Drosophila melanogaster: one gene and its partners. Changing the gene in region 1 together with any one later gene gives a genetic interaction. Each region holds a gene or a part of one and is shown on either strand. Other genes may lie near its edges. The genes, in order: hb, bnl, Lam and Kr.

Evidence for each region.
Region 2: of hb (region 1) and bnl, changing one enhances a phenotype caused by changing the other (phenotypic enhancement), as found in Drosophila melanogaster (one study listed by BioGRID).
Region 3: of hb (region 1) and Lam, changing one enhances a phenotype caused by changing the other (phenotypic enhancement), as found in Drosophila melanogaster (one study listed by BioGRID).
Region 4: of hb (region 1) and Kr, changing one suppresses a phenotype caused by changing the other (phenotypic suppression), as found in Drosophila melanogaster (one study listed by BioGRID).

What each region holds. Positions count from the first base shown.
Region 1 is NT_033777.3:8,691,820-8,699,849, forward strand, and holds the start of hb (hunchback), read right to left. Parts: upstream 6,004-8,030; 5' UTR 5,507-6,003; intron 2,782-5,506; exon of another isoform or gene 2,637-2,781; intron 2,354-2,636; 5' UTR 2,336-2,353; coding exon 59-2,335; 3' UTR 1-58. UniProt on the Drosophila melanogaster protein: Gap class segmentation protein that controls development of head structures.
Region 2 is NT_033777.3:19,833,787-19,838,516, forward strand, and holds the start of bnl (branchless), read right to left. Parts: upstream 3,032-4,730; 5' UTR 2,476-3,031; intron 1-2,475.
Region 3 is NT_033779.5:5,540,672-5,547,154, forward strand, and holds Lam (lamin), read left to right. Parts: upstream 1-1,808; 5' UTR 1,809-1,989; intron 1,990-2,107; exon of another isoform or gene 2,108-2,653; 5' UTR 2,654-2,660; coding exon 2,661-3,123; intron 3,124-3,366; coding exon 3,367-4,070; intron 4,071-4,135; coding exon 4,136-4,837; 3' UTR 4,838-5,971; downstream 5,972-6,483. Other genes in the region: Hel25E (helicase at 25E), read right to left, coding at 301-419, 482-665, 762-985, 1,052-1,250. UniProt on the Drosophila melanogaster protein: Lamins are components of the nuclear lamina, a fibrous layer on the nucleoplasmic side of the inner nuclear membrane, which is thought to provide a framework for the nuclear envelope and may also interact with chromatin.
Region 4 is NT_033778.4:25,224,866-25,231,924, forward strand, and holds Kr (kruppel), read left to right. Parts: upstream 1-1,745; 5' UTR 1,746-2,086; coding exon 2,087-2,123; intron 2,124-2,496; coding exon 2,497-3,968; 3' UTR 3,969-6,529; downstream 6,530-7,059. UniProt on the Drosophila melanogaster protein: Krueppel is a gap class segmentation protein. It is involved in the segmentation of the embryo and in the differentiation of the Malpighian tubules.

The DNA of each region.
Region 1 (8,030 bases):
CAACGATTATATGATAATAGTGATAAATAATAATAACAAGGTGATGGTGATGGGGAACTTAGGAGTGAGCATTCCTGGCCATGTGAACGAAGAGGCCGACGGGTCCGTCGCACTTCTCGCCGCACATGTTGCACTTGAACACATCGTCGCAGCTGTGGTAGCCCATGTGAATGGTGTAGAGCACGGCGTCCTTGAAGAAGATATCACAGTACTTGCACTCGTAGATGGCACCCGCCGCCGCCGGAGTTCCGGATGGAGGAGCTGCAACCGCTGAGGTGGTTCCATTGCTGCTGGAATTGCTGCTGCTGTTGCCGTTGCTATTGCTGCTGGCATTGGAGCTGTTCCCCGAGCTGGACGCCGTCGAACTGGCACTGGTATTGGCCTGCGGCACATGGGCCGTCTCCATCGACTCATCTGCCGAACTGGTGCCCGAGCAGTGCTCCTCGGGCATGGGTTTGCGTCCGGCAATGGGCGAGGATGCAGTTGGCATGGGTGTGCTGGGTACTTTCAGTTGCTCGGGAGATGTCATGGCCTCCGATCGCAGTTGTAACAGGGTGTCCAGCTTGAGGACGCGTCCCTTGCGTCTCGAGGCATTCGAGCTGCTCATCAGAGGCGTGGCCTCCTCCTCCACCTTGAGATTCATGGCCAGCGGCTGCTGCGGTTGTTGCTGCTGCTCATCCTCCTTCACTGGCGTTCCTTGGGACAGATCCATGGCAGAGTCCACTGACTTACGCTCGTACTCATCGTCCTGCTCCTCCTCCTCATTGTCGCTCTGCTGCTGGTTCTGTTGCTGCAGTTGCTCTCGCATTCTTGGCGACAATTGGGCCAAGACAGCGGCCTGTTGTTGGGCGGCCAGCATCTGGAGATTGAGGTTCCAGTAGGGGAAGAAGGCCATGTTGCGGTTCTGCTGCAGAAGGCTGGCCAGAGGAGGCAGAAGATTGGCTGGACTGGGCAAGCTGGGCGTCTGTTCCACACTGGCCACACTCTTGGCAGGAGAGGCGGGCAGCGGGAGCACTGGAGATGCCGCCGGAGGAGCGGAGTTGCCTTGAACCAGAGGGAATCCTTGCAGGGCGGCACTCAGCTGAGATGTGGCGACTGGCTGAGCTGGCTGAGATTGCTGTTGCTGCGGAGCGACAGCTGCAACATTTGACTTCCGGCTGCCGCTGCCACTTCCTCCACTGGCAATCGGTCCACCATTCTTGCTCTTCGGACCACGACGCGTGCCGTAAACATCGATGACCAACGAGGGATTCGGGGTGCCATCCTCGTCCAAAACCATGCCGGGCTTGTGACCATACTTGCGCAGATGCAGCTTGAAGCTGTGGCAATACTTGGTGGCGTAATCACAATCCGCACAACGGTACTGATACACAGAACTGTGCGACTTGCGGTGCGAGTTTAGCATGGATTTGTTGACACACGTGTAGCTGCATTTGTCGCACTGGAAGGGCTTTTGGTTCTTGTGCTTCCGGATATGGTACTCCAAGTGGTGCTTGAACTCGGTGACGAACGGGCACTTCGGGCACTGCAGGATCTTGTCTGGTTTCATGTGGGTGCGGGTGTGCGCCCAGAAGTCCACCTTGGTGATGGCCACCACGCCGCAGGTCTTGCACTTGTAGTTCTTCATCTTGCCGTGCGAATTGTAGATGGGCATCCGGATGTTGGTATCATCGTCCTCGGACTCGGCCATGTACTTCATGTCCTCGCTGGAGTTCGACATCTGATCGTGCTCCTTCTCCGGCTCAATATTCGACTGACTCGACTTGGCCGGCGACTTAGGCGGTGTGACATCCATGGGTGGTGTTAGTGCCTGCAACTTCTCGCTGCTGCCAGTGGCAACTGCAACGGGCGCAATTGTGGAGGCAGATGTGGGCGTGGGCTGCGGACTGGGTCGCAGATTGCCGCCATAGAAGTGCTGCATGGGATTGGGCAGACCAGGTGGCGTCAGCGGATTGAATCCACCCATCAGATGGTGATGGTGATGATGTTGCTGCTGGGCTGCCTGGAAATGCTGCTGGTACTGCTGTTGCTGCAGCAACTGTTGCTGCAAGTTAGCATCGTAATGCTGCAGGCTGTTTTGATCGTTTTGGCTGGGTGATGGGGTCATGGCGCACAGGGTATCCATGGGTTGCTGCTGAAGCTGCTGCTGCTGCTGCTTGAGGAACTGTTCCAGGTGATTGGTCGAGGGAATGGGCGATTGGCGCGGACTGCTGGCCACGCTATTCCCGTCGAGATGATGACCTGGCTCCTGTTTGATATTTGCCGCGAACATGCTGTTGTACCAGGCGTTGTGCTGCTCGTAGTTGGTCGTGGCTGTCGTCTCCCAGTTCTGCATCTTGGCGGCTCTAGACGGCTGTAATGGATAAGAAAACAGAGAGAGTGGGGTTAGTGGGCATATTCATTTATTCATTCATGCACTGCGCCTGCGTCGAGTTTTTTCCTCTTTTTTTCCGCTTGTTTTTCATTTTATTTTTCCTCGCTTTTATTTTTTTTTTCTCTTTTTTTGGTGTGCTTGCGGCACCACCCCTAACAAAAAATACGTCAGGGGTGGCTGGGCGGCACCCACCCCCTGAAGGCGATTTGAGTGATTTTGTGTTCAAAATGGAGACACTTGGTAATGGCTAACAATATCCTACCGTTTCGTGGCCGCTCAGTGCGTATGATTGCGATTGTATCGAAGTATATTCCAAATTTGTCGGGATTTTCGTAAGGATTTGCAAGTATATTATTGGTGCTGCTTCTGTTGTGTTGTCGCAGTGGTAACAAACTCGTGACTGACTGAACAATTGCAACAGGCATTAGTTTATATATCGCTCAGGTAGACGGATGCACGCGTCAAGGGATTAGATGGGCAGAGGTGACGGGAAGTCAGGTACAGGTCGCGGATCGGTCGGGAATCGAGGATCACGGATCGCGGATTGAGGATTGCGCTCTTGATCCATTCTGGATTAGAGCAGAAACAAAAAATTATGCGCACTTGGATTTGGATGATCCGGGAGCTTAGCGGATGGCCAGCTTAGCAGCGAGCTGCGAATTTTCCACCGGTTTTCTATGGGGATTACGTTGGTCAGGAGTCGACAGCAGGAGTAGGCAGCTAGCGTGGGCAGTTTCGTAGTTAATAATAAAAAGTAAAAAGGATTGCGGGACTTAACTAAATTAACGGATCAGAACTGCTTACACCTGCGGGAAAACTCTAAGGACCAACTAAACTATATGCATAATATGTGCAGTATAATTATTACACACCCATTTGAAAAACATTTTCCTGACAACAATTTTCCGCCAGACATTTCACTTTGATTTGCGTAGTTTTTCTAATAATTCTCGCATTAAAATTGCTTGTTGCCTATATTTTTTCCATTTCCAATTTCACACTGAAAAATTGTGCAGTTGCTGCATTTTTGGCTAATTGTTTGTGCTTTCAAGTAAATATTATTAAAAACGCAAAACGGGAAAAAGGGGCATTTACGGAATATTATTATGGGAGGATGGTGCTGTGCTATCTGGCAGCTAAAATATCTACAATACTTAGGCATAATTGATGGTTCAGGAAACAGAAAGTGCACCACACAAAATGAAGCTTAGCATATTTATTTAAATTCGCTTTTGTGGATATTTTTAAAGAAAGCCAAAATTAATTGCTCGGCAAGTGTGTTAGTGTGTGTGCGCACTATGAAACAAAGAGAATTTTCGCCTTTCGTCTGGGCTTTTTTGTGCCATGCCCAACAACAGCAACAAAGCCAAACTAAAGGCCAAGTGTAAAATTAATATTACGCCGGGCAGGGGCATGGGCCAAGGGGGCAGGGGTGGGGGCATGGGGACCATGCAGTGGGGGTTAGTGGCGTGGTGTGGCCACAACGAGTGCAGCCAGGCAACCGAAACTGCAAAAGTAAACTAAACATGTGCTAGTCGTTTTTGGTGCCTCCCCCCCCACCCCAACACCGCCCCCTTTTTAACCCTCTAAAAATATCATGAAAATGGCAAAAATGGAAAAATTCGAAAACGCAGAAAATGCGCCACACAAAAAATGTTTTTGTTGAAAAATCCGTACAAAAAGCAAGCCAAGAGCAGGATATGCCTGCTTGTTTGCAGGCGTATATAAAATATATGTATGTATGCGTATACATATGTGTAGTTGCAACCGTTATGTTGTTGGCTTAGAACAACTTGTTGTTTTTTGGAGCTGCATTCGTTTAGGGAAAACTGCACTGCTGCTGCTGACTGAAGTGATTCAATGTCATTTGCGGTTTATAAATATATCCCGTATAATATGTGCATATTTATTTTTATGCGCCTAACAAAGCCCCATTTGTTTGAAATGCGCTCAGTTCTTTTTGTCGGCAAACATTAAAACTGTCGGATGACAATCAATTCTGCAAAAGATCGTGCAATAATGATTCCCATCATCATCCTAAACAAAAAAAAAAAACAAAGCCTGCGAGCGTCACATAGGTGTATTCATTATATTTGAAATGCATTTTGGCAAGTGCCGAACTATTTGCCATTAAAAAATTGCCACGTTGACTTTGAATTATAGTTCGATGTCTAAATTTAAATTATTAAAAAAGAAAAGTCGAAAATGCATTTGCCGAAAGAAGAGCGAAAAGAAATGCTAAAAATTGAAGGGGTTATTTGGGGGGCAGGAAGGCGAAAAAAAAACAACATGAAAGTCGACATGTAAACAAATAAAATTAGCTGTCAGGCGTAGAGGGGGGCGTGGCCAGGGGCGTTGCTTAGGAGGAGCAAATGAGGAGGGGGGGGGGTCGGTTGGGGGTTGGATATACGCTGCAGTTCTAGGCAAAAACAGACAGAGCGGGCAAAAAACAAGTTCACCCGAAGATCGGCCAAAAGCCAGACAGATTTTAAAATATTGTTTTAGAATTTTTGCCATTTGCATTTTTAGCAATGATTTACCACTCTGTGTGGTTGTGTGTGTGCATGTGTGTGAGATCTCTTGTTTGTGTTCCTAAGGTTAGACAGAAAAAGAAGCACTCGATTACAAACAACAAGAAGAGAACAAGAAAATGTGCAGAACTAGAAGAAAGTTGAGTACTTGGGATTAAAGGTGATTATGACATAGAATAAGCAAATTGGTTATCAGTCATCAGATTAGCATGAATTAATAAAGTAAAATACATTAAGCATAGTGCATAATAGCATATAAACGAACTATTTAAATCTGTTTCTTTTGAAAGTATATCACATGATGAATTATAATTAAACAACTATATATCGAATATATTCTATAAAAAAAAACAGATTTCGTATCAATTGAGAACTAAATTAAAATTTACAGGGCGTATGTAAATCCTCACAAAAACTGTGTATATTCTGGATACCCCAACATTTTGGCATTTGCTCCCGCAAAAGCGATTTGTAATTCTTGTTTATTTGTTTATCCGCGGAAAGCTTTTGCGAATTTCTACCTCCATGTGTTTTTTACGATTTATTGGAGGTCGAATGCAGTGTATAACTAGGATATTGGATGGTACGCCCAGTTACTTACCTTGCGGACAGTCCAAGTGCAATTCTGCGGGAGAATTTGGAAACGGGAACCGGGAGCAGGAGCAGGAGCACGTAAGTTTTCGCTTTTCGCTCGCGGACTCTCTCTTTCCCACTCTCTCGCTTGACCGCGGCACGGTTACCGTTAGACCAACACGCACAGTGCGTGCGAGGGGGAGCGGCGATGTGGGGGCTCCTTGCTCTTCGTTTTTGTCTATTTTTTGGGCCTCGCTTTTTAGCTTGCTTTTGTGCTTTCTTTTTCGCGGAATTCGCGCATGTGCGGGATGTGGTCTTTGCCAAAAAATAAGTTTTCGGGACAAAAGTCTTTTTGCAATTGGTTATCTTTTAGCACAAGCACGAAGTTTAATTGTATTTAATGGCAATATTTGTTTTGATAGCAGTTACGTTTCGTCCTTTGGATGTTTGGTTATTTTTGTATTTCAGTGGCTGCCTGTCAATGCTGGCGACTTTCGTTTTCGGGACTCGGAGCACAACTGACCAAACTCACGCTCAGCGGGCTCTTCTAATAGCTGAAAATCTCCTCACTGCTCCTCACAACAGTGCACTCGCCAAAAAAGAACTCAAATCTAAAATCTCAATTGCAAAGCAAAAACAAATGCCAGAAGTGCAACAACACAAAGGCGCACGAGAGCCGTTACACGGAGAAGCAGAAATCGAAATGAGAGAGCAGCCGGAGAGCATCAACAACGTAACGACGAAACTCACTCAAAACGGATACGGATGCTAGCTGTAAATCTGAGTGACTTTCCCCATCCCCAAAAGCAATAACTAAACAGCATCCCCTTCGTGGCGTTCGCTCTTTCACTCACTCACCCACTCTCTCGCTCTGACTCGCTCATTTTATCCTTTTGCATTTTCTGGCGCTGCATTTTGGCCGAATGCAGCTGCCTTTTTGGCTCTTTGCCGTTTTTTGGCATCTCCGCTTCACTATTGATTATTGATTTCTGGCCCAAAAGTGAGAGAGCGGAAATGGAGGAAGATGGGGGGCCTTCGCCAATTGTTTTTTGGGCAACTTTAAGCCCAGACACATTAACAACTTAGCCAACTGCAATTGGGACGATGGAAGTTTGGGCCGAGGAGATTCCTTGTTGCTTTAACACATTTTCCTGTTGCTGTGCGTGTTAACTTAATTTGGGCAAAGCTTTGCCACAATTAGCATTCGAAATTCCAAATCTCCTTAAGGTAGTTTGTGCATATTGGGTGTATTCCACCTTTTTAAGCTAATTTCGGAAAATGTATCATTGTTAGCTTGACAAGGATTATGGTTAGCAATAAATGCATATCATTAATAGTATCATTCGGTTTAGACCAATTTTTTTCCCAAGCGGAATGTTCGCTTTTAGAATGATAAATTAGGAGCGATTGTTCTAACTAGGTTTAATGACAAATTTTGGACTAAAAAAAAAAACTATTATTATTATTCATTATTCATAGTTCATTGGTAAAAACCTTTTTTTCTCTATACAATACAAAAGGATAACTTATTATTTGTATGGATCAGAGTTTTTCTAAAGAAAACATACATGCAAATTCATAATTAAGTTCGGAATTAATGTGCCTCCAGCTATTTTATTCAATCTCCTGTTTATGTGGAATATTTGGGCTAAAATCTCCTGTTTATGTCGAATATTTTGGCTAAAACTAAAGTGGAACGGGGAGAAATTAGGGCGTTGGCAGAGGGGGTGGGGAAAATGTAAAAGCAATATTTACAAAACAACAGAGCAAACAAATCGCCGCCGGAATGCAAATTATACAAGTTGCTCTCACATATCCAGAGGAATATATGTGTCAAAAGGACGTCTCGGGAACAGGTAGTACCGGAGGTAGACCTGCCATTGACGTTGACATGGCAAACCGGATTACGAATACGAACTGCAACCGGACTTAGCGAAGAAAGGATTAAAGGACGCAAAGCTACCTGATCGGCCCGCCCAGTTCATTAATCCGCGCATCCGAAGAAGTGCGACTGGAACTAGAGTGATGTGGATTTAAAAGCGATTTAAAAGTTGGCCGTACTTCTGCACAGGACATAATCCAACATTACGCAGTACGCAGGATCACGCAGGATCAGCGCCGCTGATCCGGAGGATCCAGTTAGTCCCGAGCGATTAGCGTTCGCTGATCAGCCCGATTAGCGTTGCTTAGGCGGGCGGGTGCTGTGTGGATCCTACCCAGTTACGTTTGGAAAGTTATGTAAAGTTGAAGTTAAGGACATAACAAATAGTCCCAAGGACCGTCACGCTTGACCTTTTAATTGATGAGCTGCGATATACCTATCCGGTGATCGGGACAAACACAAACATGCTGATGATCATGATCGTCTAATTGCCGAAAGTCCATGCCACGCATGCAAATGATCCTTATCCTTAACCTTTGGCCTGCGGCTGTCTCAACAGAAGTTCCTTCGAGGGGAAGATTGGGCAGATCAACAGGGCGGATCCGCACATCTTTATCTCATGATCTTCGCATCTCCCAAATGATATGCAAATGTATCTGTAAGATGTGCA
Region 2 (4,730 bases), about 11 Mb from region 1:
GCGACGATTTTCTCGTTTTCATTTTGCCTTTTTGTTGCTCGCTTTTTAACTGAGCGGTGTACCTAAAGCTGTTGCCATGTGCGATCGTGTGTGTGCGTCTCTAAATGTATGCCGCACATTATGTGGTCTAGTGTTCACGCTTAATTAAAACAAACGCTACATTTTTACTGAGTTTCCCGCATTTTCCGCCTTCTTTCGCCGACTTCGGTTGACTTTATATTCCGAGTGTTATGCGCCACTTTTGGGCAAAAAGAAAAACAAACCGCAAAACTATTTACGCACGGCCATAAAACTTTTTTCTTTTGCATGCGATAAGCTTTATCTATCTACGAATTATGATCGTTGTATTTCAAACTTTGGCTCCACTGGGCTTGCTGCCCCATCAATCAGGCACAATTTGTAAATGTGTCACAGGCCCAAGCGAAAAGTTACCCAACTCGTGCGTTTCAGAACTAAACCTGATAATTGGCTGGCTTTATGACATCTGAAGTCCGAAGGCATGCACGACAGTCTCCGGGGAAATATAAATTCCACGCGCAACTCTTTTACTACCAAAATATAAATTTACTTTTCAATTAATTCGGGACTGCCCATGCAATTTAATCACTTCAATTGGTTTTTCTGCATAAACTGATGTCTTAATGTCTAAATTTACGGTGGTCTTTTCAATTATTCAATCGTTGACGTAGCCAGAAACCGTTTCGTAAGCGGTACTAAACAATTAGCCAATTATTTTCTTTGCCCTTGGGGGATATTCATTTTTTAGTTGATGAAATTGTGACGTGAGAACTTTAACGGCAAAGGAAATAAAATTTGATCGGCATTTGAAGAGGCACAATTCAATTATGTATAATTAATGTATGAATCTTTATCGCTTATTTTTGGTTATTAATAAGTTATACAATTAGAATTAGAAGATAAGATTTATTATGGCTTATGTAAGTTAGCAAAAAAGATTAACTTGATTATAATACTAACTAATAGCCCTTATTGCTGGAACAATTGTAAACCAATAAAAAAGTTATGAAAGGAAAGTAAAAGGTAATAAACCAAAATTTTAATATTTTCCCTAGACCCCAGATAAGTTTGAAAAATGACCAGAAAAAATCTGAAAATACCAAATAGTTAATAGCTTCTACAAATAATGACCCTGATTTGAGTTAAGCACTCTTCGCTGCCATTAATTTTGAAGGATATCACCCGCTAGTCCACACAGCCGAAATTCATTCAGTTTATTCTTTATCGCGATCCCCATATTTCGCACTTTGTCTGTCGCTCGGCTGTCCAAACTGTGATCCGGCATGTGATTAGCAGTTGTTGAACCCGACGCATACTAGCGTGCGGCAATAACGCAAATTCGCACACAGATACAAAATACAGATACAGATACGCAGCGCAAATCATCCGCAGGAAGAACAAGAACAACAAGCCAGCTTAGATAATAGCGCACAAATGTTAGATAATAGTCAGCGCCGCCAATTTATAGGACAAAAAGTGCACGCGCAGAGTGAGCAGAAAAAAAGTTTATTGCGAAAAAGTTAGCGAAATGAGATTAAAAGCGCCTGCGTGCGTTTGCAAATAGAGATACGCACAATTCGCATATACGCAGATACAGATACATTTCAAGACGGCGATAAAGATTCGCAAATGTATATGCGTTTTGCAAAAAAAAAAACTATAAATAATCCCAAAGATCGTGTGCTTAAATTTATATGAATTTCGCTTTCATAGAGTGGGTTCTCCTAAGGTCGTTTGCTTTCACCGGTTGGCAAAAAAAAACATTTTGCTACATTTTGTTTGCTTTACCAATTGTTTATTTGGGGCAGATAAACGCGGAAAAGTACTTGGAAAAACTAGGCTGCAAATCAAATTTAATTCGCTTATACCTAAATGCAATCAGATTACGTTTTAAGTGAATATCATTCTGCACAGGTATTGATCAATCAAATCAAATATGAACTAAATTATTTCAATTAGCATGCCACTAATATAAATTAAGTTTTTGCCCATTTGCTTTAGCTTGCTATTTGTTTGTTGAAATCAATTTATTTCGTTTTTATACATATTGCTATTTAATTACTTTCCCTCGTGGGTCATTTAAATACACTTATTACTCGGCCCGCTGCCAAGTGGAAAATGTTTTAAATTTATTTTGAAAGTTACCAAACAAATTGCCACATTTCAACGTATTCAAAATATTTTATTTAAATGCCCAACATTGCGCGACCAAAGAACACTGAAACTCTTTATAAATTTTAGTATTTCAAAACATCAAATCTAATAATACAGAAAAACATATATTTTTTCCGTTCGGCAAACTTGAAACTTTCAATAATTTTAGGCTTGCTTTTGCTAAGCTCCAAAGACCGAAATCCAATGAAATATTTTGCAACATTCGAACAAATACTTGGAGGAACAACAAACTTATTAAAAAAAAGAACTTATGTAACAGCGTTGAAACAGAAAATTACGCACCTAGGTTTTATGTTTGTTTGCTTTTTTTTCAGTTTTACGATTCTTTTTTTGGACGCGTTGTATTCTTCGTTGATTTTCAGAGAGTTGCACTTTGCACACTTTAAAACTTACGGCAACAACAATTCAACATTTTCATAATTTTTTTCTTATATTCCTTTTTCAAACACAGCACAAATCATATATATATATTTATTTTTTTATATATTTTCCGATCTTCGAATTGCTCGCATCTAAACGATTTTTTTTTTTTATTGCGGGCTTTTCAAATTGTAACGACTCTCTTGGATTGCGAAACGAACATTCGTGTTTCAAATTTCCTATCCGCCGAGATTATTGTTTCGATCTCCTTTGAAAACGATTGCACACAAAACCGGAACATCGAGTACGTTAAAACGGAGCGATTACGGACGCGATCACGATGATGGGGTTACGATTAGAGATGGTTAGGATGTGCCAGATGGATCGGATCGGATCGAATGGTAGGTCTGAAAAATTCGAAAACGCTGCGGATGCGGATAAGCGGACTTCGAGTGCTACTGCGACTGCGGACGCTCCGCTCACTGTGTGTTCCCCAAGCGTGCTAGTCAGAGACTGAAGCCATGAGCAAAAAGACCCTGTCGATGAGGCGACGCTTCGTGCGTTCACGCCGAGCACGTTTGCGACGGAACGAGCACGAGAGAGAGAGTGCGATGCGGTGCGGTTCGGCGGGAGGGAGACGGAGAGAGTGAGAGCAAGTAGTGGGCGAGTAAGGTAAACGCCAAGAATGGTGGTCGGTGGTCAGCTGTAGTGAATGGTGGTCGGTCGGTTCCCTAGGTGTGATATGGGGTTTATCTGTTATTCCCAATTCATCCTTCCGATCTGACGAAACTGCGGCTCAAGTGATTGAAACGCTGCCAACTCGTTGATTCATCATACATTAGCGTCAGAATCAAAAACACCGTTATAAAAGATTTGTATTTCGTTCGTTGCTAATTTATACTTTGTAGCTGAATAAATTATAAATTTTAATGAGTGGTTAAAAACTACTGTGTTACTAGCTCAACATTGTACTCAAACATTAAATGCAAAATATGAATCAATTTTTTTTTATTTTTTGTGTACTTATTTGTTGTATTTAGAAAATTATTTTTGGATTTTAAGTAAAACAAACAAATTCTGTTAGTGTTTGGGGTGGTTAACTGTAGTCATCTTAATCATTTATGAAGCCTACTTTTTCTTACTCTAAATATCTTAAACGGTTACATGGTAACTATCTAACCGAAAATTCTGAAATTTTTTGGGCCACAATGTAGGCTACAAGGTGTTATCTGTCACTAGAAAAACAACTTTCGAACATAAAGCTCAACTAAAATGTTCTATATATAAAAAAAAAAATATATATATATATATATATAAAATACAGTAGTCTACTAATTTTTGTTAGAGTTCTGTCACTATAATGAGCCCCCTAAGTCGACGGCGACAAATCACGTGACGGTTTTCAAACAGACATTGTGAAAGGGAGAGATTGCAGTTGCTTTTTGTTTTTGATTGGATTGCGTTTGGTGGCGGTTGTGCTTTTTGGCGCGTAGACCTTTTCCAGTGCTTTTGACGTATTTCGCCAGGTAGCGTGGACTTGCACAAATACCAATTAACTAACAACACAAAGTGCAACAACAAGCGTCACCCAGTACCCTTTATTATTCGGCTAAACATTGCCAGTGAATCAGTCGCGTGGGAAAGCCAACTCACGATAGGTGCTAATCGCATCGTTGTATTCGCACTGATAAGGTTTGAACTTTGACCAACTCATTTGCCTGTGGCTGCAATAAACCACAAAACCTATTTCTGACCAACCGAAATTTTTGCTAATTTTAGATGTTGACCAAAATTTAGCCCCAAAAATACTGTCACACGGCAAATTTAAAAGTTAAGGCAGCTATGCGCGAATTTCGTTGAATACAAGTTTATCTTATCTATTTAGAAGGCGCTTATAAAAAATCACATGGTGCAGATACCCATATGTGTGTATGAATGAACTTCAACTTGACACTACAGAAATTGCAGAAATATTCCGGGGTAGTCGCCTACGTCATTCTTGATGACAGCGTCATTCAGTGGGTGGGTGTTGCCGGTGGAAAGTGCGGGCTTGCTACTGATTGGCAAAGTTTTACATTGTCGCTAAGACTATATAACTGCTATAAAGTAGCAGTTTTGAGAAGGCAATGTTGTTTATTAAAGCCATAAAATATTGTTTATCGTGTCATCTATCGTGT
Region 3 (6,483 bases), on another chromosome or scaffold:
CGGTTACTGCTTGTTTATGCTTTTGCAACGGTTGCCAATTTCCACGATTAACCATTTAGAAAATGGTGTCCGATAGTCATTAACTAAGTTTTTCGATACGAGTTATGCTCACAGAGCGCTGGACGTTTGGTTGTACGCGTTTAACCATTTGCAAGATGGTGGTTGGCTTATACGGAGGGGATCAAGATCGAATGTTCGATATCGCGTGGCATTAACAAAATAATAACTAATTGTCGTGATAGCGGTGGATGCGAGGTGGAGAAGTACGAGCATTTTGGTTATGAACACGTTGATATTTACATCTTGCATGAACTTTTTGCAAACGGGACGAATGTCCTTGCTCAATGTGGCAGAGAACATCATCACTTGTTTGCCGTGCGGCGTGCTACGGAAAATCTCTTGAACGTCACGACGCATATCTAAAAGAATGGTTTGGTTATTAGTAAAACGTCCGTCATTTGGTGATTATTAGTCAACTTACCCAGCTGCTCCAGCATCTTGTCGCACTCGTCGAGCACAAAGTGCTTCAAAAGCTTCAGATTAAGTTTCTTGTTGCGAATGAGGGCGAGAATTCGGCCAGGGGTGCCCACCACAATATGCGGGGTGCCGCTCTTGAGGGTCTCCTCGTCCTTTTGAATAGCCATTCCGCCAAAGAAGACAGCCACCTAAATAGAAAACATATCGAATTAATATATAGTAACTATATAGTCGAACCAAACTTTTTGTTGAATTATATACAATGGATTAAAACGTAGACTCACCTTGACTGTGGGCATGTACTTGGAGAATCGCTCATACTCCTTGCTGATCTGGAAGGCCAGCTCGCGGGTGTGGCACATGACCAGGACGTGGCAGGTGTTGTTGTCCGACGGCTCCAGCTGCTGCAGCGTGGCCAGAACGAAGACGGCGGTCTTACCCATGCCGGACTTGGCCTGACAGAGGATGTCCATGCCCAGTACGGCCTGCGGAATGCACTCGTGCTGAACTGCAAGCGGAGAGCATCGTTAGTGACTGTACCTTTCGTCACTCCAGGTGGAGTGCAAGTACTCACCCTCCGAGGGATGCTCGAAGCCGCAGTCCACGATGGCGCGCAGGATCTCCGGTTTCAGGAGGAAATCGCGGAAGCCGGAACTGTGAATGGACACATAGGTGCCCTTGACATCCTTCTTGGGGGCCTCCTGGTTTTCGACCGCAGTGGTCTCGGTCTGCTCCTCATCCTCGTAGTCCAAAAGATCGTCATTGTCGGCCATTTCTGCGGCTTTCTTACCTTTAACTAGTTATCGGCTATAAATTCGCAACTAAATGCTGGGAAATAAAATGGGTGCGACTAGATAAGTTACATGTGTTTGTTAAAGAAAATGCCGCTTTTTTTTGCGGAACCGGTGCCGGCGTTCCCTCCGCCATTTTGTTTTTTCACCGCACCGCATTACATGTATTTCGAAATAAAACGAAATACCCATTACAAGCGACGATTTTATTTAGTGCAGTGTGATTTTCAGTGTCAAACTCACCTTTTGTGCACGTTTATCACTTTAAAATACAGCTTTTAAAGTGAAATTAACTATTTTAAAATCTTTAACGTGATGCGGAGGAAAAAACAGCGCAGAGCAGTGTGACCGAAGTACGTTTAAGAACTCATGCGAGCTGAGCCGGGTGATATCGTTAAGTTATCGATAGTTGTGCACAACAAATCCATTTGTAAGCTTCAACTAAAAAGTTTTTATAAAATATATGCCTTCTAACGCTTTAAATTAAAATGGCTTGTTGAGCTTAAATTTAATTTTTTTTTTATCATTTTGGGGTCAAGCGGTTCTTAGTCTTTTATCTAGCGCGGCGTTTGGTCACACCAGGCATGCCGGAAAGTTATCGATTAGTCTCTGAAACCATCGCAACAAATTCGATTACACGTTCCAGCGTCGGCCGCGTTTTCCTGCTGCAAGATACTTCATTTTCAAATTTGTGCATTTTCCGTTCGTTATAAAAAGTCAGGTGAGTTGCGCTGCTATCTACGAGCATTAGGAAAACTTGTAGAAAAAGTTGAAATAACTGATTAAGTGCCGAACAATAGAGGCGGCACTGTTTCACTCAAAATCGAAATAACCCCCCTGCCTGTATTAGTGTAAAGTCGCTGTAAATATTGAATTAAAATCGCCATATTGTGCAATTTTTGGCTCCTTATCAAATCGTTTAAAGTGCGTCGACTGGATTAGCTAAGCGTTGCGATTGATTAAACTAGTATTAGCCGCGCCATTTGCCTCCACGCCCATAAACAAACGCCGACAAACTCACTTCGTTTTCCTCGTCCGCTTTAGTACAGTCGCTTGAGTGGAAAGCGATGTGCGTGTGTGTGAGTGAGACGTAGAGGAGACTGCGAGAGAGAGAGAGAGCGCGTTAGAGAAACTCGTTTAGCTTCTGTTTTTGAGCGTTTTGTGCGTTTCCCCTCTTTCGTGTTCGGTTCTGTTTGGAATTTTATCAGGGCGCAAAAATAACATACCCTACACCGAACGAAAAAGTTCAAATATAAGTATTGCATATAAAACGCGTTTAGAAGGCACGCAATTGTGTTATTCAACTTTTCTTCAAGTGTTGTGTCCTAAAGAGGTCAGTCACAAAAATCTCACGTGTTATTCTGCACATTTCATTTGTCTTGCAGCGTGAACATGTCGAGCAAATCCCGACGTGCTGGCACCGCCACGCCGCAGCCCGGCAACACCTCCACCCCCCGGCCGCCATCGGCGGGTCCGCAGCCGCCGCCGCCGTCCACTCACTCGCAGACGGCCTCCAGCCCCCTCAGCCCCACCCGGCACTCGCGCGTGGCCGAGAAGGTGGAGCTGCAGAACCTGAACGATCGCCTGGCCACCTACATTGACCGGGTGCGCAACCTGGAGACGGAGAACTCCCGCCTCACCATCGAGGTGCAGACCACCAGGGACACGGTCACACGCGAGACCACCAACATCAAGAACATCTTCGAGGCCGAGCTGCTGGAGACGCGCCGTCTGCTCGATGACACAGCTAGGGATCGCGCTCGTGCCGAGATCGATATCAAGCGTCTCTGGGAGGAGAACGAGGAGCTCAAGAACAAGCTGGACAAGAAGACCAAGGAGTGCACCACTGCTGAGGGTAAGTGCGTGGAAACTGAATCGATAAGAAAACCTTATAATTGTAGGGCAAAGAAAGTAGAGTAATGATAAAATTAAAAGTAAGAAGAGACAAAAGGCGTGGTTTCAAGCAAGAACGAAACATTCATTTAGTTGCTGAACTGTATATAATGATTATCCCATGATATTCCTCACTTTCTGTGACAAAATCATCCCTATTCTGGCATTTAACGAACATTAATTGATTGATTATCCCAACCCGCAGGCAATGTCCGCATGTACGAGTCGCGCGCCAACGAGCTGAACAACAAATACAACCAGGCCAACGCCGATCGGAAGAAGCTTAACGAAGACCTGAATGAGGCGCTAAAGGAGCTGGAGAGACTGCGTAAGCAGTTCGAGGAAACGCGGAAGAACCTGGAACAGGAGACACTGTCGCGCGTTGACCTGGAGAACACCATTCAGAGTCTGCGCGAGGAGCTCTCGTTCAAGGATCAGATCCATTCGCAGGAGATCAATGAGTCGCGCCGCATCAAACAGACAGAGTATAGCGAGATCGACGGTCGCCTCAGCTCCGAGTACGATGCCAAGTTGAAGCAGTCGCTGCAGGAGCTGCGCGCCCAGTACGAGGAGCAGATGCAGATTAATCGCGATGAAATCCAGTCCCTCTACGAGGACAAGATCCAACGACTGCAAGAGGCCGCCGCACGCACATCCAATTCCACGCACAAGTCCATCGAGGAGCTGCGCTCCACTCGTGTGCGTATCGATGCGCTCAACGCCAATATCAACGAACTGGAGCAAGCCAATGCCGACCTCAATGCGCGGATCCGTGATCTGGAGCGCCAGCTGGACAACGATCGCGAACGCCACGGTCAAGAGATAGACCTTCTCGAGAAGGAGCTCATTCGGCTGCGCGAAGAGATGACGCAACAGCTCAAGGAGTACCAGGACCTTATGGACATCAAGGTTAGCTTTAATACTTGTCTAAAATCGTGTACGTATTAATACATAAATCTAATTATCCTGCTTAGGTCTCCCTGGATTTGGAAATCGCCGCATACGACAAGCTGCTGGTGGGCGAGGAGGCTCGTTTGAACATCACCCCAGCCACCAACACGGCCACAGTGCAGTCCTTTAGCCAGTCGCTGCGCAACTCCACGCGAGCCACGCCATCGCGTCGCACTCCCTCTGCTGCCGTGAAGCGCAAACGCGCCGTGGTCGACGAGTCGGAGGATCACAGCGTCGCCGATTACTATGTGTCCGCCAGTGCCAAGGGCAACGTGGAGATCAAGGAGATCGATCCCGAGGGCAAGTTCGTAAGGCTGTTCAACAAGGGCAGCGAGGAGGTGGCCATCGGTGGCTGGCAGCTGCAGCGGCTAATCAACGAGAAAGGTCCTTCGACCACTTACAAGTTCCATCGATCGGTGAGGATCGAGCCAAATGGCGTGATCACCGTTTGGTCGGCGGACACCAAGGCCTCGCACGAGCCGCCATCGAGCCTTGTGATGAAGTCACAGAAGTGGGTCTCCGCCGACAACACTAGGACGATTTTGCTGAACTCCGAGGGCGAGGCCGTGGCCAATCTGGATCGCATCAAGCGCATTGTGTCCCAACACACATCCTCCTCCCGGCTGAGTCGTCGTCGCAGCGTGACCGCCGTGGACGGCAATGAGCAGCTCTACCACCAGCAGGGCGATCCTCAGCAGTCAAACGAGAAGTGCGCCATTATGTAAAATCAAACGCAGCACAACACAACTCTTTCCTCTTTGCTGAACAAGACAAACAAAATAAGCACACACGAAGATCATAATTTAGAACCCAAAAACACACACACCGAGGTACAGAGATTTATTATTCAGCTAAGTTATTTTTTGTGGCCGCAGCGCCAATTATTTAATCAAAAACATTTGTGTAGAAGACATCCTGAATCTTCGTTTCGTTTGTACACTTTCGTTTTCCCTTTCTTAACAAATTCTATAGTTTATTGTTTCGATGTTTTTGTATTTCCGCGTTAACTAATCTATTGTAAACTTTATTTGGTATAAACTGGAGAGGCATGTTGCCTCTTTTTTATGCCACATAGAATTTACGTAAGACGTTCACTTCTTGTATTCGCGGCGGCAAGAACTTTGAAAATATTGCAAGAAAAACAATATTTTCGATGTACTTACGCTCCACCTACATATTTAGTAAATTAGTTTTTAAGCTATATCCCAGATAAACCAGTCGACGTCAGCAAACAACAACAAAAAAAAAACAACGAGCACGTAGTGAGTGATTTATAAGATACAGGTCAAGAGGATTAACTAAAGAAAACAAACGCTCCTGACAACAGACATATTTATTTAAGTATTTTTTGTACAATCAACATAAAATACATTATACATTATACATACATATACATACATACATTATATATATAGACTCATGCCTACGGAAGTGACAACCAGCCAGCAATATATATTTTTAGCCATGGCCATAGGGTTTACGATCCACCAAAACGGCTTTCTCCCGGTTTAGACCGGTTCTTGAGCTTCCTGCAGACATTTTACCGGACGAGCAACAATAAGAACAGCAACAACAACAACAGCATTAACAGCAACAACACAAATGTACAACAATTACAAAAGCAACAAAGAAGAAAAACGAAAGAAAATGGAAGTACACGTAGCGGCTCAGCGATCCGTCGCATTTTTTATGGGTGGGCGTGGTCGCGTTTTACGCCGGCCAAACAAATGCAACGCCCACACAGACTATTATACAAAAACTGATGAATACAACTAAATTTTAAGTACATCTACGTTTATGTATGTAATTGCTAATAATTTGATAATTAAAAAATAAAGAAACCATGTTTAATAAAAATTAAAAACAAACTTTGATTTAGCAATAGAGAGAAAGACATAAAAAAGTATTAAATAGTTTTAAAGCGTATACTGAAACCAATAAGCTCCTACGAATTTCGTAATAGTAGGGTACGCATTTCACTTTCGACGCCTGGTGGCCCTTTTTTCGTCACTCGCTTTGCGTTTCTATTCGTCGCCATGAGTTATTTTTGGAATTTTAATTTTTCTGCGTCTGTATTAGTTGCCTACATGCTTTTTCAATGCGTGTGTTCGCTCATAAACTTTATTTTTGAGTGACTTATCGATTATTTTTGAGTGCAGGACGTTTCAAAACCAACGTGCTTTCGCATTTATAAATATAATTTCTCTTCTTCTTCCGACCATGATTGTTTCTTTTAAAAATGTTAGGTGTCAACCCTGTCGATAGAGAAGAGAGCAAAATCCACTCAAACGAAACGCACTCAACGCGAGAGATGCGGTTAAAGTTCGTTCAACTGGCAAATGCAGTGACCGTTTAACCCGCGATAACGATA
Region 4 (7,059 bases), on another chromosome or scaffold:
TCGACCATACGCACTTTACACGCACTTCTGCCCCATTCACTCGGAAATCTTTAGTTCGCTTTGCCAATCAAAATCTAGTCTATTTTTCTTTTACTCGCTTTGATACTATTCTAGTTTAGTGATTGCCGACAAAGTCATTAACGATAAGGCCCGGATCTTATTAAAATCTGTTGAGCTTAAGTGGATCTTTCAATATCAAGCCTCTGCTTATCACGCAAACAACCAAAAAAAATTTCTGACTAATCGCCGAAACATAGGAATCGTATGAAGATTTTCTAAAACCGGTCAGCTCAGCCCGAAATTTAAGAATTTCTTATCAATAGGGTCAGTTTTAAGCGCTTTGCTTGCATATTATTTAATGCCTTCTGCGAATTTTGTTTTGGTGAAAAACTTTCTATGAAGTCGAACATTCGATGACAAAACCATTATAATTTTACGTAACATTATGCAGAGCAAGGATATTTGTGTGCCTTTCTGCTTTTGTTTGGTTTCACTTTCTTAAAATCCACGGTAGTTCAAATTTACCACCCGGTGAGCTCTGAGCGTCCTTGGCCTACCTACAAAACCAAAAATACCGATTTTCAACATAAATTTAACATAGCATGTCCTTGCCATAAAAATCTACATAAAACCATTTAAAAGTCAATCCGCAAAAGTCACAGAAAACGTCTATACAAGCAAGAAAATTTCAACGATGCAGCTCTCTTACAATTTTTTATTATATTTCCTTTCTACCTGAATCCGTTTTTTACTAGTTCCTTTTTACGATTTCTTTTTTAGACGTGTGCCAATAATTAGTTGTCCATTAAACTGAACTTCCACGTCTTTGAGACTTTGCTCAACAGGCTACAAGGAAGACAAAAAACTCACTCAGTATAGCTGGTAAAAAACCGTCGACCTTCTTTCTTACTTTCTGCACTCCTTAAGCCGATGTTTTGTTTACTTCCTGTTTACTCGTACAGCGCACGCTTGAAATTCAACCCCGTCCGTGACATCTCTTTTCATGAATTTTGGCTCTTTTGCTCTCGCTGTTTCATTTTCGCCCTGTTCTCCATTGGCGTTCATCCCCCTTAGACACATTAGTTATTTTCTATAGCTCAAATGTAAAAAGGGGAAATGACAAAGGCACATCTGAGTGAGTTTTTGTTGTGCGTCCCTTACTAACTCTAAAAACTTCTACGTGATCTTTATGTGGTGTAATATTCCTGCAAGTGCAGTTTTTATGAAGGCTCTAAAAAACACAAGCGGAAGTGGTCATAAGCATTAAAAAATGTCCTTTAACGGTCAACACATAGTTCTGATTTTTTATGTTTTATTACTGACTAGAAACGTAAAGGTCATAAAACCCTCTACTCAGCGAAGATAATTCGCATCGACAACCTATGTTAAAAAACCACATCGTCCATATTTGACTCTAACTGACTATATATCTTTTGCATTGAAAGGAACCTCTAGCTGTCTCATTCGCACCAATTTGCATATGAAAAATTAGCACTTTTAGGTATAAAAAGGAATCGATGAAATCAACTCACTCAACTCAGCGAAGTACCCAGTTTTTACTTTACCTGCTCAGGCTTGGGGATCGTTTTTCGCTTTCGCCGTGATGATTTCCCTTCCTGTCTGCACCCTTATTTGCGTGCGTGTGAGCGGGAGAGCCAATTGAGTCCCGGCGTGTGTGCGTACGAGGGTGAGTGAGAATCTTTCGCCGAGACAGAGCGTACTTATAGTTAGCTCACGCAGCGAATTTGTATCAGTCGTGATTTGGCTCTGTCAGCGAAAGGAACAACCATTTGTTGTGCCACACACAACCGCGAGTAATATAATCGAATCAAATTTCAACTACCTCATTTTGCTAAATCGGTAAACTTTTATAAAAGACAATTTTTGTGAAATCTCTCTACCTCAAAGTACAAAAGTGTGTACAAAAATTATTCATATCCCTGAAAGTGCACAAATTGCTCAAATGAAATTTTGTTGTCTAAAAAACTGAAGCTCCAAAACCACGAAGGCGAATATTATAGGTGTTTTCTGTGTGCGGGAAAACATTGCGCGAGCACAAAATTAGGAGCACAAGAAGAATTTGTTGATGTCCATATCAATGCTTCAAGACGCACAAACGCGAAGTAAGTATTAGACCAAATTAAAATATTCCCCAAGTTTGTAAACTATCTAGAAGTTCTAGAGTCCCCGATCACTTTCTCATTATTAAACAGTCCGATGTCTTTAGGATAGAAAATACAAATGTAATGTAATTGCACACATACCGATTAGTTAGAATTTGTTTACATGTTTGGACAGGAACCGGCACTTAACTCGTTATCGACCAAAACAAAAACTAGTTAGACGAAAATAGAGAGCTGCGAAAACACTAAGAGTTCTCTCCGTACGAAACTTTCTCTCACACATGTATCATATGTAAAATTTTTTTCTCTTTTAAGCCGTTGCTCTTAAGACATTTCCAAATGAAAACATACTAACTTATGATTTTTTTTTTAGCCTTAGCTGCTGCATTAGCTGGCATAAAACAAGAGGACGTTCATCTAGACCGTTCCATGTCGCTATCGCCCCCCATGTCGGCCAACACATCAGCTACAAGCGCCGCTGCGATTTATCCAGCTATGGGTCTCCAACAGGCGGCCGCTGCCTCAGCTTTTGGAATGCTCTCACCTACCCAACTTCTGGCTGCAAACCGTCAAGCTGCCGCATTCATGGCCCAACTGCCCATGAGCACATTGGCCAACACTCTCTTTCCACACAATCCGGCGGCTTTGTTTGGGGCTTGGGCTGCCCAACAGTCGCTCCCGCCCCAGGGTACGCATTTACATTCGCCGCCAGCCAGCCCGCACTCGCCGCTGTCCACTCCTTTAGGTAGTGGCAAGCACCCATTAAATTCCCCCAACAGCACTCCCCAGCACCATGAGCCAGCGAAGAAGGCTCGAAAGTTATCGGTTAAGAAGGAGTTTCAGACCGAGATCAGCATGAGTGTAAACGATATGTACCATACATCGGGAGGCCCAATATCTCCGCCTTCCAGTGGCAGCTCTCCTAATTCAACGCACGACGGAGCGGGTGGAAATGCTGGATGTGTCGGTGTCTCCAAGGATCCATCTCGCGACAAAAGCTTCACCTGTAAAATCTGCTCACGCAGCTTTGGCTATAAGCACGTGCTTCAGAACCACGAACGCACCCACACCGGTGAGAAGCCTTTCGAATGTCCGGAGTGCCACAAGCGGTTTACTCGTGACCATCACTTAAAAACCCACATGCGTTTGCATACTGGAGAAAAACCATATCATTGCTCGCACTGCGATCGTCAATTCGTTCAGGTGGCCAATCTTAGACGACATTTGCGAGTCCACACTGGAGAGCGTCCCTATACTTGTGAAATCTGCGATGGCAAATTCAGTGACTCCAATCAGCTTAAGTCCCACATGCTGGTACACAACGGTGAAAAGCCGTTCGAGTGCGAACGGTGTCACATGAAGTTCCGACGGCGCCACCATCTGATGAATCACAAGTGTGGCATCCAGTCGCCGCCTACTCCCGCGCTTTCACCGGCCATGAGTGGAGATTACCCCGTGGCAATCTCCGCAATTGCTATCGAGGCATCCACGAATAGATTTGCGGCAATGTGTGCCACCTACGGAGGTTCGAATGAGTCGGTCGACATGGAAAAAGCGACACCGGAGGACGATGGTCCATTGGATTTGTCTGAAGATGGAGCCAGCTCTGTGGATGGCCATTGCAGCAACATCGCACGGCGCAAGGCACAGGACATTCGTCGGGTTTTCCGGCTGCCTCCACCGCAAATCCCTCACGTACCCAGTGATATGCCTGAGCAAACCGAGCCAGAGGATTTGAGCATGCACTCTCCTCGCTCTATCGGATCTCACGAGCAAACCGATGATATTGACTTGTATGATTTAGATGATGCCCCGGCTTCTTATATGGGCCATCAACAACATTAGGCCAGTACCACACCGAATTGTACATAGCCCTAATCAGTTTTCATTTGATGAAATTGACTGGCATTTATTAACACAAAATTGAAAATTTTGCTATTTCAAAGTGGAAAGTAAAAATTGTTGCAACAGGAATATAATGATAAGTACAAGTTTAAAAAAAAATAACATACAAAAAAGTCGAAATTGTACAAAGTAAGCCATACCGTATGCTTGTTACCGCCAAACCCCACCAAATCAAATCGAAAATGTCGTGCCATTCTTTACCTTAAATTTAAGTTATATTCTTAGGTTCGGAATCTTAAATTGTACATATTCAGCTTACACAGCTGCCAATTGTAAAGTAATCGGCGCTCTAAACATGCATTGTTGCAGAAAAATAAAAGACACGAAGTTTAATTAGGAAATCTATAACTAATTTTATTTAATTTATTAGCTTAATTTTTTATAATTTAATCAAATTCTTTAAGAAAACAATGCCAATAATCTTCAAATCAAAACTAACTTTAAGTTAAATAATAAAAAACATTTGTTTGATAATTGTTCTGTTTGCATTCTCTATTTAAAACTATTATTAAATATAAAAATTTAGTTAATCCTGTTTTTTTAAAGATCATTCTTAAATGTACACTTTTATATTTATACTTCAATAAATATTTGGTTTAATTGTTGCTGCTTCAAATATAAACAATAAAGAAAAAAGAAAATCAATGGTAACGTTAATATTTAACTGATTCCGCTTTTATTTCATATTGCCATAACTTAAACACAGTTTACGCATCCATTTTTGAAAATCTTTTTTTTTTTGTTGCAAACTATAAGAAACGTTAATATATATTCCAAAATAATAACCTAATGTAGATCAATGCGTATCGAAAGTATAGTAATCCCACTTATCTTAACACTCGTAACTATTAGTTTTAATTGTAAGACTTGAACCAAATACACAGGAAGAAATTGCTATAACCAAATACCTCCAATACCTCTGTATCGAAATTGTTGTGAGCTAAACAGTATATACATTCAACAATTTGGCAATCGTACAATTCAACTGAATTTATATACAAGACTTAGGAATATAAACTACGAAGCATAAACAATTTATATGTATTAAAATTTTGATGCATATTTAAATGGACCTAAAATAAGAAATTAATTTTAAATACTAGGCCAATTCAAATTACATATAAAAGTATATAAGGTTGTATATAACAATAACAATTTGAAATAAATTTAGTGCAATTTTTCGTTCTATTCATTGGTAAGCTTACTGCTTTTATTTTAAAACGTTGTAGTCATAATAATGTAACAAATTAATATGTAATTTTCTTTGTTCATTCAAATGTATGGTATACAAGTTCCTCAAGATTAAAAGAATACAAGAGCTATAAACTAAAATAGAGAGTGCATTTCTAATCATTTGAAAGTCAGCGCACGAAAGACATCATATTAATTGTGTACAGCAACATTCGACGTTTAACCCAATAGATATAATTAAATTTATAAAATCACAAGTCAATTTTTATGTAAATAAATTATAATCCTAATTGTGGCTAGGGATGTGCAATGTATCAAAAAATAAGAGTTATATGTGTTAATTAGGGGGTTGCTAATTTTAACCCTTTAAAGACATACACACATACACCTTGTAAAATACGTCAGTAAATATAAACTAGAAAATGTATTTTATGGTACATGATTGCATTAGATATGTCAGTCTAGCATATAGTAAACGAAACTGTTACTTTTTGTCATAACTATTTCTTCTCTAATTTAATGTTCTACCTATATCAATAATAAATACATATGTATACATCGGCAAATATGTATTTATTACATAAAAATCGAAATATATTATGTTAAATTTAAAAATTGCTGTCTGGGAAACCAAAAATAAATGAATATAAATATATATATGTATATATATGTATATACATATGAGATAATTGTGTAAAGCAAAAAATATTCGTAGCAACCCCGCTTTAGAAAATTACCCACAGCTTTCTTCGATTTTTCGTAAAAGAGAAAACGGGCAGCATTACATAAATTTTTAATTTATGCAAACGAAGCCCTTTCGCATTATTTTACATTTGCCACAAGACGCCCCACTAATGCCGTCGCCACGTTCCTCCCCACGTCACCCCCTTTATTCATCCATCCCTTCACTGGAATTTAAATTTACGTCTGCAGGCAACGGCAGCAGCTGAGCAAAAACGAATATAAAAATCGCGCCGCGCAGTCAGAAAATGTCACAGTGTTTTTTCCATTTAATCTCCAGAGAGAGAGAGCAAACATCTACAATGCTATGAAAGAAAGTCGACGCCACCCACTCATACCAATCGCCTCCCGTTCAGCCATGCCGCGGAACTGACGCCTTCTCTTCTTTGTGCCCCTTTCAACAGCCAAAAAAGGCTTCATCCTGGCAGCCCCCTCTATATAAAATTGTATGTACAAGTATTACATAAAGAACGTCTTATGTACTTACACACGTACATATATAAAACGGAGTAAAAGAGTGAGACGCAGGACAAATGCTCACGTTTTGTGATGCTTATTAGCATTTTAGGCTTTTTTCGCTTAGACTTCTGTAAACATACTCTATGAGCGTATACGTAAATAAAAACAATTCAATAATTAAAAAGTTAAACGTAATGTTAGCCAAATAAACCTTATGCTAAAACTGTTTACCCTAATTTTACCAATAAAAGCTTATTATAAATAAGTTAAAAGAAGAAACGGGAATAAACTGGTAATTGCCAGTTTTATAGTGTAGATAGGTACGTATATCTTATTCGAACCCCCAATCCTCACCCTCAAAAGCTTTTTTTTTAGCTGCCGAGTAAATAGTTTGGTGTTGGACATAGAAAACTTTCAAATGAGTTTACGATTTTTTTAAATATTTCGTGTTCCGCAAAGGAATGAAAAATAAAAGGCCTTGAAAATGAATTTAAGGCCTTCGCTGGCAAAGAACCGCCGACGCACCCAACTTACTGTCGTTATTATTTAAACTGAAAAATTATAATTTTTACCAGCAGACTTCTGCTCACAAATTCTAAGACTGGCGCTTATCCAAGAAAGACATTATTATAAGCTCCCT